Linked DNA regions of Anolis sagrei. The protein of the gene in region 3 binds, or shares a complex with, the protein of the main gene of each other region. Links are inferred from orthologs where the notes say so. Each region holds a gene or a part of one and is shown on either strand. Other genes may lie near its edges. The genes, in order: SAP30, MIDEAS and DNTTIP1.

Evidence for each region.
Region 1: DNTTIP1 (region 3) and SAP30 share a complex: the UniProt entries of both Homo sapiens proteins name them as parts of the histone deacetylase complex. The link is inferred for Anolis sagrei from reciprocal best matches to the Homo sapiens genes DNTTIP1 and SAP30.
Region 2: the proteins of DNTTIP1 (region 3) and MIDEAS are in contact, whole or in part, in a cryo-EM structure (PDB 6Z2J), measured with the Homo sapiens proteins. The link is inferred for Anolis sagrei from reciprocal best matches to the Homo sapiens genes DNTTIP1 and MIDEAS. Residues at the interface, in NP_443183.1 of Homo sapiens: Pro63, Ser66, Leu69, Leu70, Ala72, Val73, Leu74, Pro76, Ser77; in NP_001036783.1 of Homo sapiens: Gln768, Asp771, Leu772, Thr774, Ala775, Ser778, Ser779, Ile802, Leu803, Leu806.

Annotation. Positions count from the first base shown.
Region 1 is NC_090025.1:60,585,845-60,592,981, forward strand, and holds the start of SAP30 (histone deacetylase complex subunit SAP30), read left to right. Parts: upstream 1-4,118; 5' UTR 4,119-4,346; coding exon 4,347-4,757; intron 4,758-7,137. UniProt on the Homo sapiens protein: Involved in the functional recruitment of the Sin3-histone deacetylase complex (HDAC) to a specific subset of N-CoR corepressor complexes. Capable of transcription repression by N-CoR.
Region 2 is NC_090021.1:286,468,843-286,476,782, forward strand, and holds the start of MIDEAS (mitotic deacetylase-associated SANT domain protein), read right to left. Parts: upstream 3,071-7,940; 5' UTR 2,974-3,070; intron 1-2,973.
Region 3 is NC_090024.1:248,956,341-248,963,347, reverse strand, and holds the start of DNTTIP1 (deoxynucleotidyltransferase terminal-interacting protein 1), read left to right. Parts: upstream 1-3,997; 5' UTR 3,998-4,046; coding exon 4,047-4,169; intron 4,170-6,725; coding exon 6,726-6,796; intron 6,797-6,899; coding exon 6,900-6,996; intron 6,997-7,007. UniProt on the Homo sapiens protein: Increases DNTT terminal deoxynucleotidyltransferase activity (in vitro). Also acts as a transcriptional regulator, binding to the consensus sequence 5'-GNTGCATG-3' following an AT-tract.

The DNA.
Region 1 (7,137 bases), on a different chromosome or scaffold from region 3:
TGTGGAGTGGATGATGAAAGTACTGAAATCATGTAGTTTATACAGGTGATCTGAACTTAGTAAGTGAAATTGTGGATGAGTGTAATAGTGTATATGGTTCTGAGGATACAAAACGTTGTCCTGTATCTATATACAATAGCAATCTCTTCCCTTTTCCGCTCCACAGCAAAAGAAGCCCACTTACTCAATACTGGAGGTAGACTACTACCCGATTGGGGCACTAAGTTTAAGATAACATTGTATTGTCTTAGAGGTTGTGTAAACACACTCCCTAATGCAGCTAATAATTTTCTAAGGACCCTTCCACACAGTCATATATCCTCGAATATCAAAGCAGATAATCCACAATTTCTGCTTTGAACTGGATTATCTGAGTCCACACTCAGATAATGTGGGGTTTTCTGCCTTGATATTCTGGGATATAGAGCTGTGTGAAAGGTCCCTCTGCCCACTTGCAGCTTTCACTTTTGACTTGGGGCCCTTCCACACAGCCATATAACCCAGAATAGAAAAGAAGATAATCCACAATATCTGTTTTGAACTGGATTATCTGAGTCCACAATGCCATATAATCCAGTTTAATGTGGATTTTAGCTGTGTGGAAGGAGCCTTGATCAATGAGGAGCAAATCAGTTGTTGCGCAGTAGGTGAACTCAATGCCTATCCAACAATCTAGTTGCCTGATAGGAAATTTCCACAACTGTGGTGTAACTGTTCTGATATGTTTTTTTCTGCTTTTGTAAAACCATACAGAATCTAGGCTGGGAGATATAATTATATAACTATCCTTTTTTGTTTGTCTTCCAGCCATTTCCAACTTACAGGGATCTTATCACAGAGTTTTCTTGGTAAGATTTGTTAAGAAATAATTTTCCTTATGTCTTCCTCTGTGGCAGAGGGACTATGGTTAGCTCAAGGTCATCCTGTTGGGTTCCTGTGGCTGATCGGGTATTCAGCCATGATCATAGTTGTAATCCAATGTCCAAACCACAACACCATGCAGCTCTCACTAGTATTGACCTAGGACCCTTCCACACAGCCCTATATCCCAGAATATCAAGACAGAAAATTCCACAATATCTGCTTTGAACTGGAATATATGACAGTGTGGACTCAGATAACCCAGTTCAAAGCAGATATTGTGGGATTTTCTGGCTTGATATTCTGGGATATAGGGCTGTGTGGAAGGGGCCTATGTTGCAGGAACAGCTCCTTTTGTCTCTATGGAATCTTCTGTTATTGAAATTTGTGAACCAGCTGTTTCCCTTCTGCAGGACTATCCATTTTCCGGAGCTGGTAATTACAGTTGGCCCATGGTATCCACTGGGGTTTGGTTCCAAGTAACACACACACGCCACGGATATCAAAATATGTGGGTGCTCAAATCCCATTATCTAAAATGACATGGTAAAATGACATTAATTTAATAAAATGGCAAATAACTCAAACAAGTGTTGAGGATCTGTGAAATGACAGGAGGTTACAAGAGAATATGCCTATACATTACCATGGTGCTTCGCATGTGGCAAAATCAAAATGTTGATTATTGGATTTCCCTCCCTGAATATGTTATAATTGAATCTGTTAGTGCAGAATTTCTGAATACAGTGGGACAACTGCGTGTCCACCTCCATCATGTGCTTTCCTAAGCTAAACAGCTTTGCAATGTTGTAAGCAAACGTTTAATTTCCTTGCACCACAGAAGGAAGAGGATTGTCTTGAGCAATACAAAAATACACTAACAATAGCTGATGAGAAAAAAAGCTCTGTGCATAATTTTTAGTGATATCTGCCACCACAGGTAAGAAAACATTTAAAAGGGTCTTTTAAATTTGTCAAGTAGGTCTTCCTGCCAAATTGCTTATGATTGTACAGGCAGTCCCTGAGTTACAAACATCTAACTTACAAAGAACGGGGATGAGACAACAGGAAATGAGAAAATCTACCCTCAGGAAGAAATAGCCACCCCTGAGTTATCATGGGAGGAAAGGGTCTCTACTGAAGCTTTATCACCAATCCCTGTGAGCCTCCAGTGGCGCAGTGGATTAAACCCCTGTGCTGGCAGGACTAAAGACCGACAGGTTGCAGGTTCAAATCCGGGGAGAGACGGATGAGCTCCTTCTATCAGCTCCAGCTCCTCATTTGGGGACATGAGAGAAGCCTCCCACAAGGATGATAAAAACATCAAATCATCCGGGTATCCCCTGGGCAAAGTCCTTGCAGAAGGCCAATTCTCTCACACCAGAAGCGACTTGCAGTTTCTCAAGTCGCTCCTGACACGACAAAAAAATAAATAAATCCCTGTTTCCACAACAAGCCTGTTGGAAATAGTAACCTTCTCAAGCCTCCACTAGTTACGTGTTATATATATAGCTAGCTGTCCCGTGTCATGCTTTGCTGTGGCCCAGTCTGTGTATATGTGTTTTGTGTGTGTATATATGTGTATATATGTGTGTGTGTTTGCATATATACACACACACACGTGTGCACGTGTGTACATATATGTGTGTGTGTATATATGTACATATGTGTATTTTTGTGTGTTTATATGTGTGTATGCATGTGTATATGTGTGTGCATGCGTATATGTGTGTATGTATGCGTGCATGTGTTTATGTATATGCACCTTCCTCTTGGCACGTTTCTCTCTTTTACCCTCCATTTGTGCCTCTTCAAATTCTGCAGCACTGCTGGTCACAGCTGACCTCCAGCTGGAGTGCTCAAGGGCCAGGGCTTCCCAGTTCCCAGAGTCTATGACAGAGTTTTTAAAGTTGGCTTTGAGCCATCTTTAAATCTCTTTTTAAAGGGGCAATGCCAGCTAGCTTGTAGAGTTTATCAACAGGTGTAGGTTTAAGACAGGGGTCCTCAAACTAAGGCCCGGATATAGCTCTCCAAGGTCATTTACCCGGCCCTCGTTCAGGGTCAACCTAAGTCTGAAACAACTTGAAAGCACACAACAACAACAATCCTATCTCATCAGCCAAAAGCAGGCCCACACTTCCCATTGAAATACTAATAAGTTTATATTTGTTAAAATTGTTCTTCATTTTAATTATTGTATTGTTTTAAGTGATTTTTGCACAACAAATAAGATATGTGCAGTGTGCATAGGAATTAATTCATTTTTTTTTTCAAATGATAATCCGGCCCTCCAACAGTTTGCGGGACTGTGACCTGGCCCTCTGTTTAAAAAGTTTGTTGACCCCTGGTTTAAGACATCCTGTGATTATTCTGCAAGTTTCATTCAATGCTATGTTCACCTGCTTTGCATGGGCAGACCTATGCCAAACAGGGCAGGCATACTCAGCAGTTGAGTAAGACAAGGCCAGGGCTGATGTTCTTATTAATTTTGGGTCTGCACCCCATGTGCTGCCAGTAAGTTTCCACAGGATGTTATTGCATTCAGCTGGAGGTCAGCCGTGACCAGCAGTGCTGCAGAATTTGAAGAGGCACGAATGGAGGGTGAAAGAGAGAAACGTGCCAGGAGGAAGGCCGTTGAGCCAACCCCGGCCGAGACCGCCTTCCACCTGGAAACCAACGCCTTCACTGTGGGAGAAGATGCAGGTCAAGAATAGGGCTCCACAGTCACCTATGGACCCACAAGAATACTGATCCTGGGAGACTATCCTTCTCGTCTAAGTAAGTAAGCTGGGGAGGGGGGGGGCACGCCAAGAGGAGTGGTGGTTCTCATAAAGGAGTTGGCTAGGCTTTGCATTGCAATGGGAGAGAGCAGTCTTTTCCAACTTCCCGCTTTCAAAGCCTCCCCCCCTTTCCAAAAAAAAACCGGTCGCATGAGAGGAAGAGAAGGAGGGGGAGGGTCTGAAGCTCAGACGTCACGAGGCATTTACTTAAATGGCATCCGAGCGAAGGTTTCAAAAACCGGTGAGGAGAAAAAAAGGGAAGCGGGTCACGTGTCCTTCGCAAGCCTTGCCTGCCTGCCTGCGCGCGCGCAAACAAGCCCGCTTTGTAAATACACCACCACACTGAGGCGGCGGAGGAGTTCCTTTTTTTTCTACATCTCGCAAAGCGTTGCATTCTGGGATTGGTAGTCCTGAAAGGCGTCTAATCCCTTCTGCAAAAACAGAGACAGGAACTACGTTTCCCATGAGCGCATAGCGAGAATTCGAAAGGGGAGGGGGGAAAGAAAGAGGAGAGAGAGGAAAACAGAGCCAGCTCTACCGGGGTTTAGTGTTGTTGCTGCTGCAATGGGGAGAGGAGTGCTGGAAAGTGCCGCGCGGTGCCCCAAGGGGTGATTGATATCCCTCCGACGAAGCCGGGAAAGGGAATGCGGTGGGTCTCGCCTTGAGCAAGCAAGCAGCACCAACACACGCCTTCCCCCGTATTGAATGACTTTACTGTCGAAACACAGCGCGGAGATGAATGGCTTCGGGCCCGACGACGTGGCCCGAGGAGGAGGAGGAGGAGGGCCAGGAGAAGCCCCGCTCCCCGCCTTGGTTGCCAATGCCGGGGAAGCCCTTCCTCTGCCGCCGCCACCTCCTCCTCCTCCGTTGCCCCTTCCTCCACCTCCTCCTCCGCCCGGGCTGGGCATGGCCTCCTCCTCGGTGGCCTCCTCTTCCTCCTCTCCGTCTGCTTCTTCGGGGGCGGCTCCGGCTGGCTCGGGCCCCGGGGCGGGCCAAGTGTGCTGCCTGAGGGAGGAAGGCGAGCGGTGCGGGCGGGCGGCGGGCAACGCCAGCTTCAGCAAGCGCATCCAGAAGAGCATCTCCCAGAAGAAGGTCAAGATCGAGCTGGACAAGAGCGTGAGTCTTGGCTTTCATGGCTGGAATCACTGGGTTTTTCGGTTGTTCTAGAAGCATGCTCTCCTGACGTTTCGCCTGAGGCTGAGGCTTGAGGCTTGCCATAGATGTAGGCGAAACGTCAGGAGAGCATGCTTCTAGAACATGGTCAGGAAAAGAGAGTTATTGTGCCTGCCTGCCCTCCTTTGCAGACTTTGCTTTGATCTCCTCCCACCCACTTTTGACTTGTTCCCCTTGAAGTTTGCTTTTTCCCCCAACTCTTTCGACTTGGATTGGTCATTTTTGCAGCCTGCTTTGCCTTATATGCTGCTTAGACTTTGTCTTGTTTGTCTTCCACTTTGCATTGTTTTCTCCACTTTGCATTGTTTTTTTCTCCACTTTGCATTGTTTTTTTCTCCACTTTGCATTGTTTTTCTCCTTGCTTTTGCGTTTACTGCACGGCCTTCTTTCTATTTTTGGGCAGTTTGCACTGCCTCCCCCCCCCCCCCTACTGTTATATTCCTGACAGGCCCTATTATCCCAGGATCTGATCCCAAGTTTCCAGATTTTCTGCTTTAAACTGGATTATATGTGTCCGCACTGCATGATAATTGGTGGCACTCTGAGTGTACAGTGTATCTGGCAGCGCCCACTCATATAATCCACTTTAAAGCAAAAATACTTGTGATCAGTTCCTAAGATAAAGGGCCTGTCTGGAAGGGCCTTGAGTCTGTATCTACGCCGCCCTATATCCCAGGATCTGATCCCAAATTTTCTGTTTATCCTGGCTTATCTGGCAGTGTGAACTCATATAATCCAGTTTAAAGCAGAAAACCTGAGACCAGATCCTGGGATAAAGGGCTGGCCTAGAAGGGCCCTAAGGCTGAATCTACACTTCCCCATATCCCAGGGTCTGATCCCAGGTTTACTGTTTATCCCAGATTATCTGGCAGTGTGGACTCATAGTCCAGTTTAAAGCAGAAAACCTGGGGTCAGATTCTGAGAGGTAGGCCTGTCTGGAAGGGCCCTCAGGTCCCGCTTCTACACTGCCACATACAATCCAGATTATCCTAACTGGATTATATGTCTCTACACTGCCATATGATCCAGTTCAAAGCACAGCATCTGGATTTTATGTGTCTGCTCTTGAAATTTTCATTGCATTTTCTTTGCACTTCTTATTGCCTTTCACTGCTTACTTTAATCCCATCTGCACTGGCCAATAACTGTTGGAAACTGCATAGACAATGAGAGATCATTACTGGGCCTCTGGTTGAGAACTATCTCACACCTTGGCTTTGTTGGTCCGTGTTGGCCCAATTACCACCACTGGCCATACAACCAGTCTTGTTAAGTTGCAATGTTGTTTTTGTGTTGTGGGTTTCTCTGAGGTTGTAATGCTGGGACTTGCTTGTTTTATGAATGTATGTTGGAATCCGCCTGAGCGGACGGAATATAAATAAAGTTTTATTATTTTCTTATTTATACCAGGCATGGGCAAACTTTGGCCCTCCAGGTGTTTGGACTCCAACTCCCACAATTCCTAACAGCCAGTAGGCTGTTAGGAATTGTGGGAGTTGGAGTCCAAACACCTGGATGGCCAAAGTTTGCCCATGCCTGGTATACAGTCATTATTTGAGTCTACACTCACTCAATGCAATTTCCAACTATATTATTTGGCACTATGGAGGGGGCCATTGTCTTGTTCTTTGTGCAGTTTCGCAGTCTTCCTCCCATCGCCTTGTTTCTCCTTGAAGTTTGCCTTGCCTCATTCTCCTTGCCTTTGCGGCTCTTTTCTCCTTGCAAAAAACAAGTGTGCAAAGCCATCCGCCTGTTCCCTTTCTCTCTCTGTCTCTCACTTCCCGCCCTCCTCCTTCATGTCTCAGGACGGCAAAGAAGTGCAGACAGGAAGGCAACAAAAGCCATCCCGCCACAATGGAGGAAGGAGAGAGACAGAGAGAGATTCCCCTTTCCAAGGGGGGTCCTTTCTCCAGATCTGAGGTGTTTCGATCCCAATCCCGATGACTTTTTGTTGTCCCATTTCCCTCCACAGTCTCCTTCCACTTCATTCCTTGAGAGGGAAACAGAGATGCAGCAAAGGAATGAGGAGTTTGGCAGATAGGATCCCCCAAAGCTTGGGGCAAATCTCATTCCGCATCCGGCTGTTTATGTCTGACGCGGCAAAAACCTGCTCTTTGTCATCTTCTCTCCCTCCTTGATGGCATTGCTACTTTGATGTTATTTTGCTTTTTTCTTGCTCTCATAGGCTGCCTCTACCTTTCATAATTGAAACACCCTAATGCCTTAATATAATGGAGTTGTAATTTTGCAAGGTCTGCAGCCTTCTCTCGCCGTACATTCCACAAAGTGATGTTAAAACTACATTCATTCCTCACTGTGTTAT
Region 2 (7,940 bases), on a different chromosome or scaffold from region 3:
GCATCATTTACAACACAGGAATTGAGTTTCACTGGTAAACTGGAAGTTAAACCAAACCCTTATACGAGATGCAGACACATACATTATCTGTAAAAACGAAATGTATGAGGACGCAATATAACAGTATCTCATTAACACCTTTCATTTATGTTTTTTTAAATATATATTATTTGTACGATAATACACGTTTCCAAGATTTGGGTCATTTCTCGTGATGTTTGCGTGACACACCTACACATGTCACGAATGACTTGAGAAACTGCAAGTCGCTTCTGCTGTGAGAGAATTGGCAGTCTGCAAGGACGTTGCCCAGGGGATGCCCGGATGCTTTTTGATGTTTTACCATCCTTGTGGGAGGTTTCTCTCATGCCCCCACATGGGGAGCTGGAGCTGACAGAGGGAGCTCATCCATGCTCTCCCCAGATTTGAACCTCTGACCTTGTTGGTCTTCAGTCATGCCCTCACAAGGGTTTAACCCATTGCACCACCGGGCACTCCTGTGTCATGACACACAGTTTGGAAAGCTCTGTGCCACAAGCTTCCTTTGCAAAACCAAAAGCACCATGTGAGACTTCAGCGCAAGGGAGGGAAAAAAAATGTCCCGTGGGCTTCACAAGGCTTTAAAGCACCCAGTCCTTTGCACAGGCTTGTTAGAAAGCTTGCAAACCTTATGTAAGGTTGCAGGCGCCAGTGAGTGTTTTGGCCAGCTTAGTCAATCATGTGCCAAAAGAAACCCCTCCTCTTTCGTTTCCTGCTACAAACTTGAGAAATATGCTCCAATGAACATCTGTCAGGAGCCACGCAGAAAGCTTTTGTCCCACTGGGTCTTTAAAAAAAAAAGCATTCGGGGAGCGGGGAGCGGGGAGGGGGGGGGGAAGCAAGCCTATTTAAGTCTCAGAGGAGACGTCTGATCCCTACAGACTGGAGATGATTTGTCTCAAGGCAGCGCCTTCTGTCTCCTTCCTGCAAACGTGTCCCATATTTGGAAGACCTACTTTGACACTTTCCGTCCTCCCTCCCCCTGCAATGGAAGCAGCCTTTTTCCACACTTGTGGGTGGAAAGAGCAGAAACCACTGTGGATAAAAAGGGGAGGGTGTTCCAACCGCAACAAGCTACCTAGTTTATTTTATTTGCTTTATTGATTTCGTAACAAAAGCATTGCATAAATTAGTATAAATCTGATAAAAATAGAAGGCGTGCAGGCGGCTAAATATCTTTTGACCAAAAACAGGCAACAGCAATGGCATTGTCTGTAGCCTCCAACAATTCCTCCTCTGTACATGAGGCAGGGCACAATGGACAAGCATACAAATGTGGAGCTGTCTGTTCTGCTCCACAGTCACACAAGGTTTGGGCTTCTTTTAGGTAATGCCATTTTGCCAGATTGTCTTTTGATCTGCCCACTCCACTTCTGAGTCTGTTCAGGGACTTCCAAGATGTTCATTCCTGGTTAGCTGCCCTGAGGGATACCCTTGCTGTTGCTAGAGGGATGCCAAGAGGAGTGGTAGTTCTCATAAAGCTTTTCCTTGATTTGAGTCTGTTGGGAGGAGACTGGTAGCCATGTAGTAGATGGCTTTTACAGTGTTCAACCTTATTTCTCTCACATCGAGGGGGAGGGGGGCACTGCCAACTAGCTTATAGAGTTTATCAACAGGTGTAGGTTTAAGACATTCTGTGATTATTCTGCATGTTTAGTTCAATGCTACGTTCACCTGTTTTCATGGGCAGACTTATGCCAAACAGGACAGGCATATTCGGCAGTTGAGTAAGACAAGGCCAAGGATTATGTTCTTATTAATTTTGGGTCTGCACCAAAATTTGATTCGCTGAAGGTGCATCTACAATAGGTATGGGCAAACATTGGTCCTCCAGGTGTTTTGGACTTCGACTCCCACTATTCCTAACAGCCTCAGGCCCCTTCCTTTTCCCCCTCAGACTATATATTATATAGTCAGTGTAATAAATCCATATAATGCAGTTCAAGGCAATGTAGATCTATTCCCAATTGGGAAGATGAAATAAAACAACTTCCAGTCTCACTTGGTGCATCTACACTGTGGAATGAATGCAGTGGTACCACTTTTACTGCCAAGGCTCAATGCTATGGAATCTTGGGAGTTTAGTGACTCCCCAGGAAAGGCTAAAGACCTTGCAGAACTACAGCTCCCAGGATTCCATCGCATTGAGCCATTTTGCAGGGAAAGCTAAAGACTTTGCAGAAATACAGCTCCCAAGTTTCCATAGCATTGAACCATTTGGCAGGGAAAGCCAAAGACCTTGTAGAACTACAGCTCACAGGATGCCATTGCATTGAATCATTTGGCAGGGAAGCCTAAGGACCTTGCAGAACTTGCAGAACTACAGCTCCTAGGATTCCATCGCATCGAGCCATTTAGCATGGAAGGCTAAGGACCTTGCAGAACTATAGCTCCCAGGATTCCATCTCACTGAGCCTTTTGGCAGGGAAGGCTAAAGACCCTGCAGAACTACAGCTCCCAGGATTCCATAGCATTGAGCCATTTGGCATGGAAGGCTAAAGACCTTGCAGAACCTTGCAGAACTAAAGCTCCCAGGATTCCATAGTATTGAACCATGGCATTTCCGAGTCGTGTCAAACTGCATTCATTCTACAGTGTGAAGATGCACCCAAGAGGGGGGGGGGGGGGGGGACAAAGCAAAGCAGCTGGAGTGTCAGCCTTTCTGTATCTTCATCCCCGGGAGTGTTTTAAAGCGGAATAATAGTGCGATCACAGTGCAAAGCCTTCCGCCCCGAACGCCACTCACTGCAAACCTGTTCCTGCTCCTCTTCCTCCTTTTCAAAAGTTTTCCCTTGTCTGTTTACATAAGCGCAGGCTCAGCTGCATGCAGGCTTGCTTCTCAACTTTTACCCCGGAGAGAGAAAGCAGGACATCTGCCCAAACTGGGAAAGCCATGACCCCAGGATCCCCTCCCCACCCCGAAGGGTCGCTTACCTTGATCTGCTGCTCCTGAGTCGCCCCAGGAGCCAAATTTGAGGCCCTCCGTTGCCTCCTGCTAGTGCTGCTGCTGCTGCTGGGGAGGCGTCACTTCCTAGAGCAGCCCTGGGGCAGAGGTTTGGGGGCTGGGCTCCCCGAGAGGCCCTCTCAAGCCCCGCCCCGTCTGCCCACCCTCCCCACCTCACCCGCCTAGTGACTTCTGCTGTGGCTGTATCTGCAATATCTGCATATGGTCAGTGCATCATATGGGCAGTGGAGCTCTATGTAATGCAGAATTAAATGCATTATATGAGTCAAAAATACAGCTTAATGGCAGAAATACAGCTTAATGGTGTAACATTAGAAAATGTTGACCATTTCCACTACCTTGGCAGCCACCTCTCCACAAAAGTCAACATTGACACTGAAATACAACACCACCTGAGCTCTGCGAGTACAGCATTCTTCTGAATGAAGCAGAGAGTGTTTGGGAACAGGGACATCCGTAGGGATGCCAAGGTGCTTGTTTATAAAGCTATTGTCCTCCCAACTCTGCTATACGCCTGCAAGACGTGGACTGTCTACAGATGTCATATGCAACTCCTGGAACAATTCTATCAGCACTGCCTCCAGAAAATCTTGCAAATCTCTTGGGAAGATAAGCGGACAAATGTCAGCGTGCTGGAAGAAGCAAAGACCACCAGCATTGAAGCGATGGTCCTCCGCCATCAACTTTGCTGGATTGGCCACGTTGTCCGGATGCCCGACCACTGTCTCCCAAAGCAGTTGCTCTACTCCAAACTCAAGAACGGAAAACGAAATCTTGGTGGGCAGGAAAAGAGATTTAAATATGGGCTCAATGCCAGCCTTAAAAATCTCTGGCATAGATACTTAGAACTGGGAAGCCCTGGCCCTTGAACGCTCCAGCTGGAGGTCAGCTGTGACCAGCAGTGTTGTAGAATTTGAAGAGGCACGAATGGAGGGCAAAAGAGAAAAACGTGCCAAAAGGAAGGCGTGTCAAGCCAACCCCGACCAGGACCACCTTCCACCTGGAAACCAATGCCCTCACTGCGGGAGAAGATGCAGATCAAGAATAGGGCTCCACACTCACCTACGGACCCGCCGCCAGTACAGCAGTCTCGGAAGACAATCCTACTCGGACAACGAGGGATTGCCTAAGTAAGTAAGTACATTGCTTTAGACTTGGTTTAGTTGCCATCAACTCGTTGTTGTTAATTGCATTCCTGTTCCAGGTGCCAATGCACTTTTAATCTTGCAATAATGTGTGAGTGAGTTGCAGTTGCTGCTCACGCTCTCTCATTTATTTTTGACGCCTAACTCTTCTTTGCATATGTTCATCTTAGGTTTTTTGTTTTTTTTAAATATTGCCCTGGAAGCCCTGTTGATTTCTAACAGCACACATTATTGCTGTTGCATATGGAGTTAAAATGTGTCACTCTGTCAGCTGCCAACACAAAATGTTCCTTTTACTGACAGGTGACTACTTGTGCTCCCAAATCTTTTGAAGTGTAGGTAAATGTGAGTCAGAGGTATATTTAAACATTTCAGTATTGGCTCTGATAAGGATGAAATGGCTTTTGTTGCAAGGCTCTGGAAGAACGTGCACAATAAATATGTTCTAGTCCTCACAGGATTTGAAATAAGCAAAACAAGAGCAGAATATTTCAACCTTCATGTTGTTACCGCATCACATTACTAAATGTAGAAGTGCCCCAGTGGTGCAATGCGTTAAACCCTTGTGCCAGCAGAACTGCTGACCTGAATGTTGAGTTGTTGACCTGAAGGTTGCCAGTTCAAATCTGAGAGAGCAGATGAGCTCCCTCTGTCAGCTCCAGCTTCCCATGCAGGGACATGAGAGAAGCTTCCCACAAGGATGGTAAAACATTAAAACATCAAAACATCGGGTGCCCCTTGGGCAATGTCCTTGCAGATGGCCAATTCTCTTACACCAAAAGCTACTTGCAGTTTCTCAAGTTGCTCCTGTAAAGAAAGATTTACTAAATGTAGAATATAAAGATATCACTCCTAGGGGGCAGATAAATATCTGCTGTATTTTCTGGTGTATAAGACTACTTTTTAACCCAGGAAAATCTTCTCAAAAGTCGGGGGTCGTCTTATATGCCGGGTGTAGTCTTATGGGGTGGGTGCAGAAACTTCCAAGCTGGACTGGAAAATCTGCGGTCGTCGCATATGTTTGGGGGGAGCTCAAAAACGGCCATGGCTGCATCACCACCATATGCAGTGACTGTCTAAAAGCAGCAAGAGGGGCGCTATACAAGTACGGTAGAAGAAAATCCACTCACCAAGATTCATGTAAAGAAGCGACTTGACGAGGTCCTGATGATGAGATGAGGGGGCACCTCACCGGGAAGGTGTAAGTGAAGGGGGAAGCAAACTTCAGGCATCTGGGATGTCCGAGGTATGGAAAAAAGAGATAAAGTGGTGCTGTGCCCAGAAAAACACTCCTCTTTCACCCATCTGGCCTGCCCTTGTATCCTATTATCGTACCTCCTTCTCTGCCTTTCAGATCTTGCTCCTGAGGACTACAGTGAAGTACCACAGGCATGCTTGTTTGAGATCTAAGAGGCAGAGAAGGAGGTATGGCAATAGGAAAATTACCATATTGAAATCAAATCTGATGTTTTTAAAAATTTTATTTGGTGTGCATTGGAAGAGGGGTAGTCTTATACAGCGAGTAATTTATTTATTTATTTATTTATTTATTTACAGTATTTATATTCTGCCCTTCTCACCCTGCAGGAGACTCAGGGTGGATCACAATGCACATATATATGGCACACATTCAGTGCCATAGACACACAACATATGTAGATAGACACACAGAGGCTATTTAACTTCCAGCTTCATGAGGGTGTGAAGCTGTCACTTCACTGTCCACTTGTGACACTGATGGAGTACTTCCTAATTCTTTTGCATGCTGCTGGAGATTTTTATGGCGTTGTAAATTAGTTAAATTAGCCTCCCCTCATAAGCGGTACCTAAATTTCCTACTTGACAGATGCAATTGTCTTTCAGGCTGCAAAGGTTGACAGCAAGCTAGACAAATGGTTGGGAGCTTACTTCGACCCGGCTGGCTTCGAACTAATGACCTTTTGGTCAGTAGTGATTTTAATGCAGCTGACTCCCAACCAGCTGTGCCACAACTCGGTCCTATATTCCAAACTCTATAGTTTAACTGGAAAAGTTGAGGATCGTCTTATACTCCCAGTCATCTTATATGCCAGAAAATACAGTATCTCAGGATGTGTTGTATTTCAGTGTCAATGTTGACTTTTATGGAGAGGTGGCTGCCAAGGTACTCCACTGGCTACCGATGAAGAACTGTAGAGAACATAGGAAGCATCTACACTGCAGAAGTAATGCAGTTTGAGACTGTAGAGATATGTTTATTATAAAGTGTTTATTATACTGTGTTTAAACTGTATTTGTGGTTTACATTTGTTGCCATGGCCTAGCTGTGAGGGATAGGTTGCCATGGTGACAAGACAAGGCAGAGGAGGTGGGCGGAGCTTAAGGAGAAAAAGGTTTGAAAGTGACAGTTAATTTTCAGTCAGGAGGATGAGACCCTGAGAGGAGGAGCAGAGTCAGATAGGACTCTGGGAGAGTAGCAGAGTCAAGAAAGGACTCTGGGAAAGTAGCAGAGTCAAGATAGGACTCTGGAAAAGTAGTTTGAGTCAGGAGGATGAGACCCTGAGAAGAGGGCAGAGTCAGTTAGGGCTCTGTGGTGTGAAGCAGTATAGATTCAGTTAGTTTTAGTGTTTGTGAATATTTCTTCAGCAAGGGAGCTGAAGGGAAAACCTCGTTAGATTACTTTGAGGAAAAAGAATCTAACAGAGGAGGTTTTAGGATCGCCAGTAGTGTAAGACTGGAGATCAGTGGTTTGATCCTGTATAGGACAAACAGTGTGAATATTCACAACAAGGAACACTGAAATAATAAAGTACTTCACTGAAGAAGGAGTTTATAAGATTGTAACATCTAAAGCCTGAATGTATCTCGACCAAGCCATATTGTAACCACCAAGCATATGCCAAGCTCTACATCTCAATATTGCAACAATTACGCTTTGTTTAACAATAAACTTGTTCTCTTTGTATTTTAAACCTGCCTCCTCCATTAATTTTACGTTTGGTGCATTCCACTCTACCAAAGTTACCTGACAACGCAAATAGGGATAAACAGAGACTTTAAGACCAGCGTCTCTAAACATATTGGTGGCAGTTTAATTTAATAGCAGTCTAGGAACTTCCTTACATTTTTGGTAATCCCATTTGGTGGGATTAACACCACGTCTTTACATTTTTGGTGGCATTGATACGTTCTTTTACATTTTTGGTGGCATCTAGTGGGATTAGTGCTTCTTTACAGAGACCCTTTTCACTGCCATGGCTTAATGTTATGGAATAATGGGAAATGCAGTTTTGCAAGGTCTTTAGCCTTCTCTGCTCTGCCAAACTCCAAATTCCAGGAGTACATAGCATAGAGCCATGGCAGTTAAAGTGGTATCGAACTGCATGAGTTCTACAGTGACGATGCACCCATAACCACAACACTGTTATCCCTACTGTAACATTTATATTTGTAACATTAAGTGGTAAATGGAGTACTCTGTTACTTACCACAAATTATTTTGTGACATGGATGATTGTGTGGCTCCCTTCCTTTCCAATTCTTCTCCTCTAAACTCATATTTTAGTGTGTTTTTTTTCCTTTTCTCAGTGCTGCAGCAGCTGTTGTTGCCATGCTCTCCATTCTGTTGCTATGATTTGCAGGGTTTGTGTATTTGCCAGGCTATGATTCTGCCATATGAACAGTAATGATGTTCATTCTACAAGTACCTCTCCCACAGATAATATCTTTCATTTTCCAAATAAACAATATAAGTTTTGGGATGGTTCCTTTGAAAACACAAAATATTCTGTTGTAAAAGCAACCGAGCAAAC
Region 3 (7,007 bases):
ACGTATTGTACTGTACATGGCGCCTACAATGTTTATTTATTTGAAGTTACCTAATTGGTGTAGAAGCGTTTAACCTGACACACATATTGTGAACCCGTATCTTGGGAAGTCTGACTTGGCCACGGTGGTACATGCTTTGGTCACATCCCGCCTCGACTACTGCAACGCTCTCTACGTGGGGCTGCCCTTGAAGACGGTCCGGAAGCTCCAGCTAGTCCAGCGCGCGGCAGCCATGTTGTTAACGGGAGCTGGACGCAGAGAGCATACAACGCCCCTGCTGTCCCAGCTCCACTGGCTGCCGATCTGCTACCGGGCCCAATTCAAGGTGCTGGTGCTCTCCTACAAAGCCCTAAACGGTTCCGGCCCAAAATACCTTGCAGACCGCATCTCGGCCTATGAGCCCACGAGGGCCTTGAGATCATCCGGGGAGGCCCTTCTCTCGGTCCCGCCTGCCTCACAGGCACGTCTGGCGGGGACGAGGGAGCGGGCCTTCTCGGTGGTGGCCCCTCGGCTATGGAACGCCCTCCCTGCTGAAGTTAGACAGGCGCCCTCCTTGATGGCCTTTCGTAGGGGCCTGAAAACATGGCTCTTCGAGCAGGCCTTCAGTTGAGTGTAGTGAATGAAAATGGAATGAACCAGGACTACGACTTTGCTTATGACCCCAGGACTTGACGAAGCGGATTTTTAGTATAGGTGTGTGTTATGTTGTATTTGTCTGATTAGTATTGTCACGGTTCACTGTACATTGTCTTCTTTGTTGTTGTTCACCGCCCCGAGTCGCCTTCGGGCTGAGAGGGGCGGTCAATAAATGCAAGAAATAAATAAATAAATAAATAAACAGATAATTGGTAATATTGGTAAAATACATTTCAGTTGGAAGATGAGCAAGTGAAAGACTGTATGATAAGATGGGATGTTTATCGACCAGGAGTTGATGGCCAAAGTGACGAGGAGGGTGATATTGGAATTCTAGGATAACAGAGTTGGAAGAGACCACATAGACCATCATTAACTGACCCAAATAGTACTTTTTCTGTGACTTTTGTGAGCGTTAACTATAAAAGTGTAGCTCAGAACTGTCACAGTTAGTTTCTCATCACAATACTACTACATGGTAAGAAATAATTTATGTCCCCCCCATATAAAACTATGCTGTAAAAGTGCCAATATATGGGAGCTGATTTCCCAGCCACAGAGTAGAGATACCACAATACAATGTATTTGGATCTCCAATATGTTTTTTTGGTATATGCAAGGTCTACATCAGTGGTTCTCAACCTGCAAGTCCCCAGGTGTTTTGGCCTTCAACAGCTGGTCTATTGGCTGAAATTTCTGGGAGTTGTAGGCCAAAACTCCTGAGGATCCACAGGTTGAGAACCATTGGTCTACATTTAGTCAGCTAACATTGGGAACTTGTATTAACTGACCTAAACATGGATGGGTTATGGGTAGATAAACCAATAAGCCAATGGGTGCTAAATACCGATCCTCTGATGACATTTACGATACGCCTTCCGAGATATGTCAACCCTGGCTAGGTGACTCTGATGTCTAGCTGACCCTGAGGAGGAGCCCTGGACCCAGCATCGATGTAACTAACTGTCCCCTGCCAGGCGTTGCTGTGGCCGTCTGTTGATCTGGCAAATAAAGTAATGAGAAAGTGTTGGTTTCTAATAAATGTAATTTCGTTCTGCTTGTGGGTAAACAGTATTTCTTGCTGTTTCTTTGTCAGTGTTGACGTAGAGATTGTCTGGTTTGCCCACCCTGGAACATGCAACATATAGTTGTCCTTCTTTAAGCGTCCCTTTCAAATCTATGATACTATATCTCTGTGTGTGAATCATATCTATCTATTTAGCTATCTATCTATCTATGGCTATGGCTGGATGGGTCTTTGTGAGGAGGACTTTGATTACATTTTCTTGCCCTGATGAAGGGAGCTGGATTGGATGGCCTCAAGTATTTTCTGTTGGTCATGGGGGTTCTGTGTGGGAAGTTTGCCCTGATTCTGTCTTTCGTGGGGTTCAGAATACTCTTTGATTGCAGGTGAACCATAAATCCCAGTAACGAAAACTCCCAAATGTCAAGGTCTATTTCCCGCAAACTCCATCTGTGTTCATATCTGGGTGTATTGAGTGCTTTTGCCAAGTGTGGTCCAGATCCATCATTGTTTGAGTCTGTAGTGGTCTCTGGATGTAGGTGAACTACAACTCCCAAACTGAAGGTCAATGGCCCACCAAACCCTTCCCTGACAGATGGCCATCCAGCCTCTGTTTCAAAGAGTCTCCACCGCACTCCCTCTGGGGCAGAGAGTTCCACAGCTGAACGGCTCTCACAGTCAGGAAGTTTTTCCTCATGTTCAGAGGAATACCTTTAAAAACAATTTTGTGCCTGAAAGAGTGTGGGTTGGAGCAAACTGAACCACGAGAAAGCACCACAGTCTGTGAGGAATGGTGGTAGGAATGCAAGTCCAAAGCGCCTGGAGAGAAGGAGGAAAGGAAGGAAGGAAGGGGATCCGAAGTAGGCCCAGGCGAGAGAGAGAGAGAGAGAGAGAGAGAGAGAGAGAGAGGTGGGCCGGGAGAGAAACTAAGCCTGAAGGCCGGCCATCCCGCCCCCAGAACGCCTTCCACCCATTCTGGTTCGACTGCCACCCTGGACACAGCATATTCTTATTTGAGAACACAGAAATGCTGGACCACTCTCACAACCACCATGTCAGACTACACAGAGAAGCCATGGAAATCCACAAGAAGCAGGTGGACAATTTCAACAGAAAAGAAGAGACCATGAAAATGAACAAAATCTGGCTACCAATATTAAAAAAAAACTCTAAAATTACAACAGCAAAACAACAGAGAAGAAACAAACAAGGACATCTAATCACCTCTCAACAAAAGATTGCTCCAGGCACTGTCAGGCCATCAAACATCCCTCCTCTCCTTCAGAAGGAAGCTAAAGACCTGGATGTGGCAGATGGACAAAGACAACCAATAATGACCAGAGTAGGAAAGGACAATGACGATGATAAATGGTTTACGGGCTTGGATTTGGTGAACACTGACCACAAGATGTTTTTATTCATGATAGTATACTGTTGATTGTTTTAATTAGCTATAACTGTGATATTATATGGTAAATTTGTGTATTGTATATTGTATTGTATTTTGTGAATTGTTAGGCATCGAATTGTGCCTTTTGTAAGCCGCCCTGAGTCCCCCCGAGGAGGTTGAGAAGGGTGGGATAGAAGCACCCCAAATAAATAAATAAATAAATAAATGCTAATCAAGGTGGTCAGTTGAAACATTCACACGTAGCTCCAGCAGACAAGAGTCCTTTGTCCCACCCTGGTCATGCCACAGATATATAAACCCATTTTTCCTAGTTCCAACAGACCTCACTACCTCTGAGGATGCTTGCCATAGATGCAGGCGAAACGTCAGGAGAGAATGCCTCTAGAACATGGCCATACAGCCCGAAAAAACCTACAACAACCCAGTGATTCCGGCCATGAAGGCCTTCGACAATACAGTATTAAAAAACTCTAAAATTACAACAGCAAAACAACTAGAGAGGAAACAATCTGGGACATCTAATCACCTCTCAACAAAAGTTTGCCCCAGGCACTGCCAGATCATCAAATGCTAATCAAGGTGGTCAGTTGAGACATTCACACCTAGCTCCAGCAGACAAGAGTCCTTTGTCCCACCCTGGTCATTCCACAGATATATAAACCCTTTTTCCTAGTTCCAACAGACCTCACTACCTCTGAGGATGTTTGCCATAGATGCAGGCGAAACGTCAGGAGAGAATGCCTCTAGAGCATGGCCCTATAGCCTGAAAAAACCTGCCACAACCCAGTGATTCCGGCCATGAAAGCCTTCGAGTAGCCATTGCCCGGCTTTTCCTTCAGGAGAGGCCTGCTTCCCTCGGTTTCCAAGCAACGGCCCCACTTCCGGGTCGTGCCGGGCGCGGGGTGATGACGTCCCTGCGTGGCCGTGGAGGGGGGCGTGGCTGCTGCGCGAGGGAGTCAGTCAGGGAGTGAGCGGATGGGGGCCGCCCGCGAGACCGAGCAGCCCGAGGCCGAGGCCGGGGAAGAGGAGGAGGAGGACGAGGAGGAGGAGGAAGAGGAAGAAGAGGGAGAGGAAGACGAGGAAGAGGAGGAGCTGGCGGTGAGGGGGGGCGGGGCGGTTGCCGGGATACCAGGGGGAGGGAGGGGGCGCCCCAGCCCAGCATGCACCGCGGCAGAGGTGTGTGCCTGGCTTAGGAAGGACATCACAGGCCTAGACCAACTTAGGCCCTCCCTCCCGCCCGCCAGGTGTGTTTTGGACTACAACTCCCAGAATTCCTAAGAGCCGGTAGGCTCTTAGGAATTCTGGGAGTTGTAGTCCAAAACACAACTGGCGGGCGGGAGGCAGGGCCTAAGTTGGCCCAGGCCTGGACTGTCATCATAAACACATATCCTTCAGCCCTCCCGCCAGTTGTATTTTAGACTACAACTTCCTGAATTCTGGGAGTTGTAGTCCAAAACCCCTGGCGGGCGGGAGGGAGGGAGGGCTGAAGTTGTCCCAGGCCTGCTCTAGCATCATCATCACATGGGAAAGGTTTCATTACACAGCCAAAACTATCATTATTAATTACTATATTATTATATTTGATATTAGGAATTCTGGGAGTTGTAGTCCAAAACACAACTGGCGGGTGGGAGGCAGAATTCCTAAGAGCCGGCAGAGGTAAGCCTAGCATTGGTGTGCCTGGCTTAGGAAGGACTTCAGAGGCCTGGACAACTTCAGCCCTCCCGCCCGCCCGCCCGCCCGCCAGGGGTTTTGGACTACAACTCCCAGAATTCCTAAGAGCCGGTAGGCTCTTAGGAATTCTGGGAGTTGTAGTCCAAAACTCCTGGCGGGAGGGAGGGAGGGCTGAAGTTGTCCCAGGCCTGCTCTAGCATCATCACCACATGGGAAAGGTTTCACTACACAACCAAAACTATCATTATTAATTACTATATTAGTATATTTGATATTATTAGCAAACTGACAAAACTATAACAACAAGGTTTGTGTTCCCGGCTCAGGAAGGACATCCCTTCCCAACCAGGTCTCTCACAGGCCCTCCTTCCCTCCCTCCCTCCTGCCAGGTATTTTGGACTCCACCTGTTAGGAATGATGGGAACTGGAGTCTAAAACACCTGAAGGGAGGGAGGGAGGGCATAAGTTGGCCCAGGCCTGTGAGAGGCCCAGTTGGGAAGGGATGTCCTTCCTGAGCCGGGAACTATCATCATAAACAAAGTTCTTGTGAGTTTTTTCGGGCTATGTGGCCATGTTCTAGAGGCATTTTCTCCTGACGTTTCACCTGCATCTATGGCAAGCATCCCTCAGAGGTAGTGAGGTCTGTTGGAACTAGGAAAATGAGTTTATATATCTGTGGAATGACCAGAGTGGGGCAAATGACTCTTGTCTGATGGAGCTAGATGGGAATGTTTCAACTGACCACCTCCATTAGCATTAGAAGGTCTGGCTGAGCCTGGGGGAATCTTTTGTTGAGAGGTGTTAAGATGCGCCTGGTTGTTTCCTCTCTGCTGTTTTGCTGTTGTAATTTTAGAGTTTTTTAATACTGGTAGCCAGATGTTGTTCATTTCCATGGTTTCCTCCTTTCTGTTGAAATTGTCCACATGCTTCTTGTGGATTTCAATGGCTTCCCTATGCAGCCAGTGGTTCCCTTGATGTATGGCAGGAACACTTTTCCTCTGAGTGGACCGCAGAGGGAAGCTGAGGAGGAAACACAACATACAAACTATCTCCAGACCCACCAAGAAAATCCAACAAATGCTTCATCCAGCAAAGAACAAGAGGGATCTTCTCGCTTCTGCAGGAGTCTACCATTGTATACCATGCAGCTGTGGACAAGAAGTCTACATAGGGACCCCCAAATGCATTATTGCCTAGACACGAATCAAGGAGCATGAAAGGCACTGCAGACTACTTCAACCAGAGAAGTCAGCCATAGCAGAGCACCTGATGTACCAGCCTGGACACAGCATATTATTTGAGAACACAGAAACGCTGGACCACTCTCACAACCTCCATGTCAGGCTACACAGAGAAGCCATTGAAATCCACAAGGAGCAGGTGGGGAATTTCAACAGAAAGGAAGAGACCATGAAAATGAACAAAATCTGGATGCCAGTATTTAAAAACTCTAAAATTACAACAGCAAAACAGCAGAGAGGAAACAACCAGGCGCATCTTAACACCTCTCAACATAAGATTTCCCCAGGCTCAGCCAGGCCTTCAAATGCTAATGAAGGTGGTCAGTTGAAACATTCACACCTAGCTCCAGCAGACAAGAGTCCTTTGTCCCACCCTGGACATTATTCCACAGCAGGCATGGGCAATCTTTGGGCCTTCCAAGTGTTTTGGATTTCAACTTCCAGCTACTGGCTGTTGGGAATTGTGGGACTTGAAGCCCAAAACCCCTAGAGAGCCCAAGTTTGCCCATGCCTGCTGTACACTATAGAATGAATGCAGCTGTGGTGTCACTTTTAATGCCAAGGCGCAATGCTCCAGAGCCCTGGGAGTTGTAGTTTGGTGAGGCACTAGAAGTCTTTGACAGATAAGGTTTAAGGCCAGAACTCCATGGCATGAAAGAGGACTCAAGGTGCTTTCGTTCTGCCGTGTGGATGTACTCAAACCAGCGTGCACCCATCCACCTCTGGTTTCTTCCCACAGAGTCCCTGGAACATCATGATCAAGCACCGGCTGGTCCAGCGGCGCGGGCGGCGCTCCCAGATGATGACCAGGTACAGAGACCCCCCCCTTCCTTGCCTCCTCCTCCTCCTCCTCCCAGGAGAGGCATTGTGGTCCAGCCATTGACCCCTTGTCCTCCCCCCCCCCCATCTCCAGCTTCACAGACCCCGTTGTTTCCATGGACCTGCTGCGAGCCGTCCTGCAGCCCACCATCAACGAGGAGATCCAGGCCGTCTTTGGGAAGTACATGAAGGTGTGCAACTG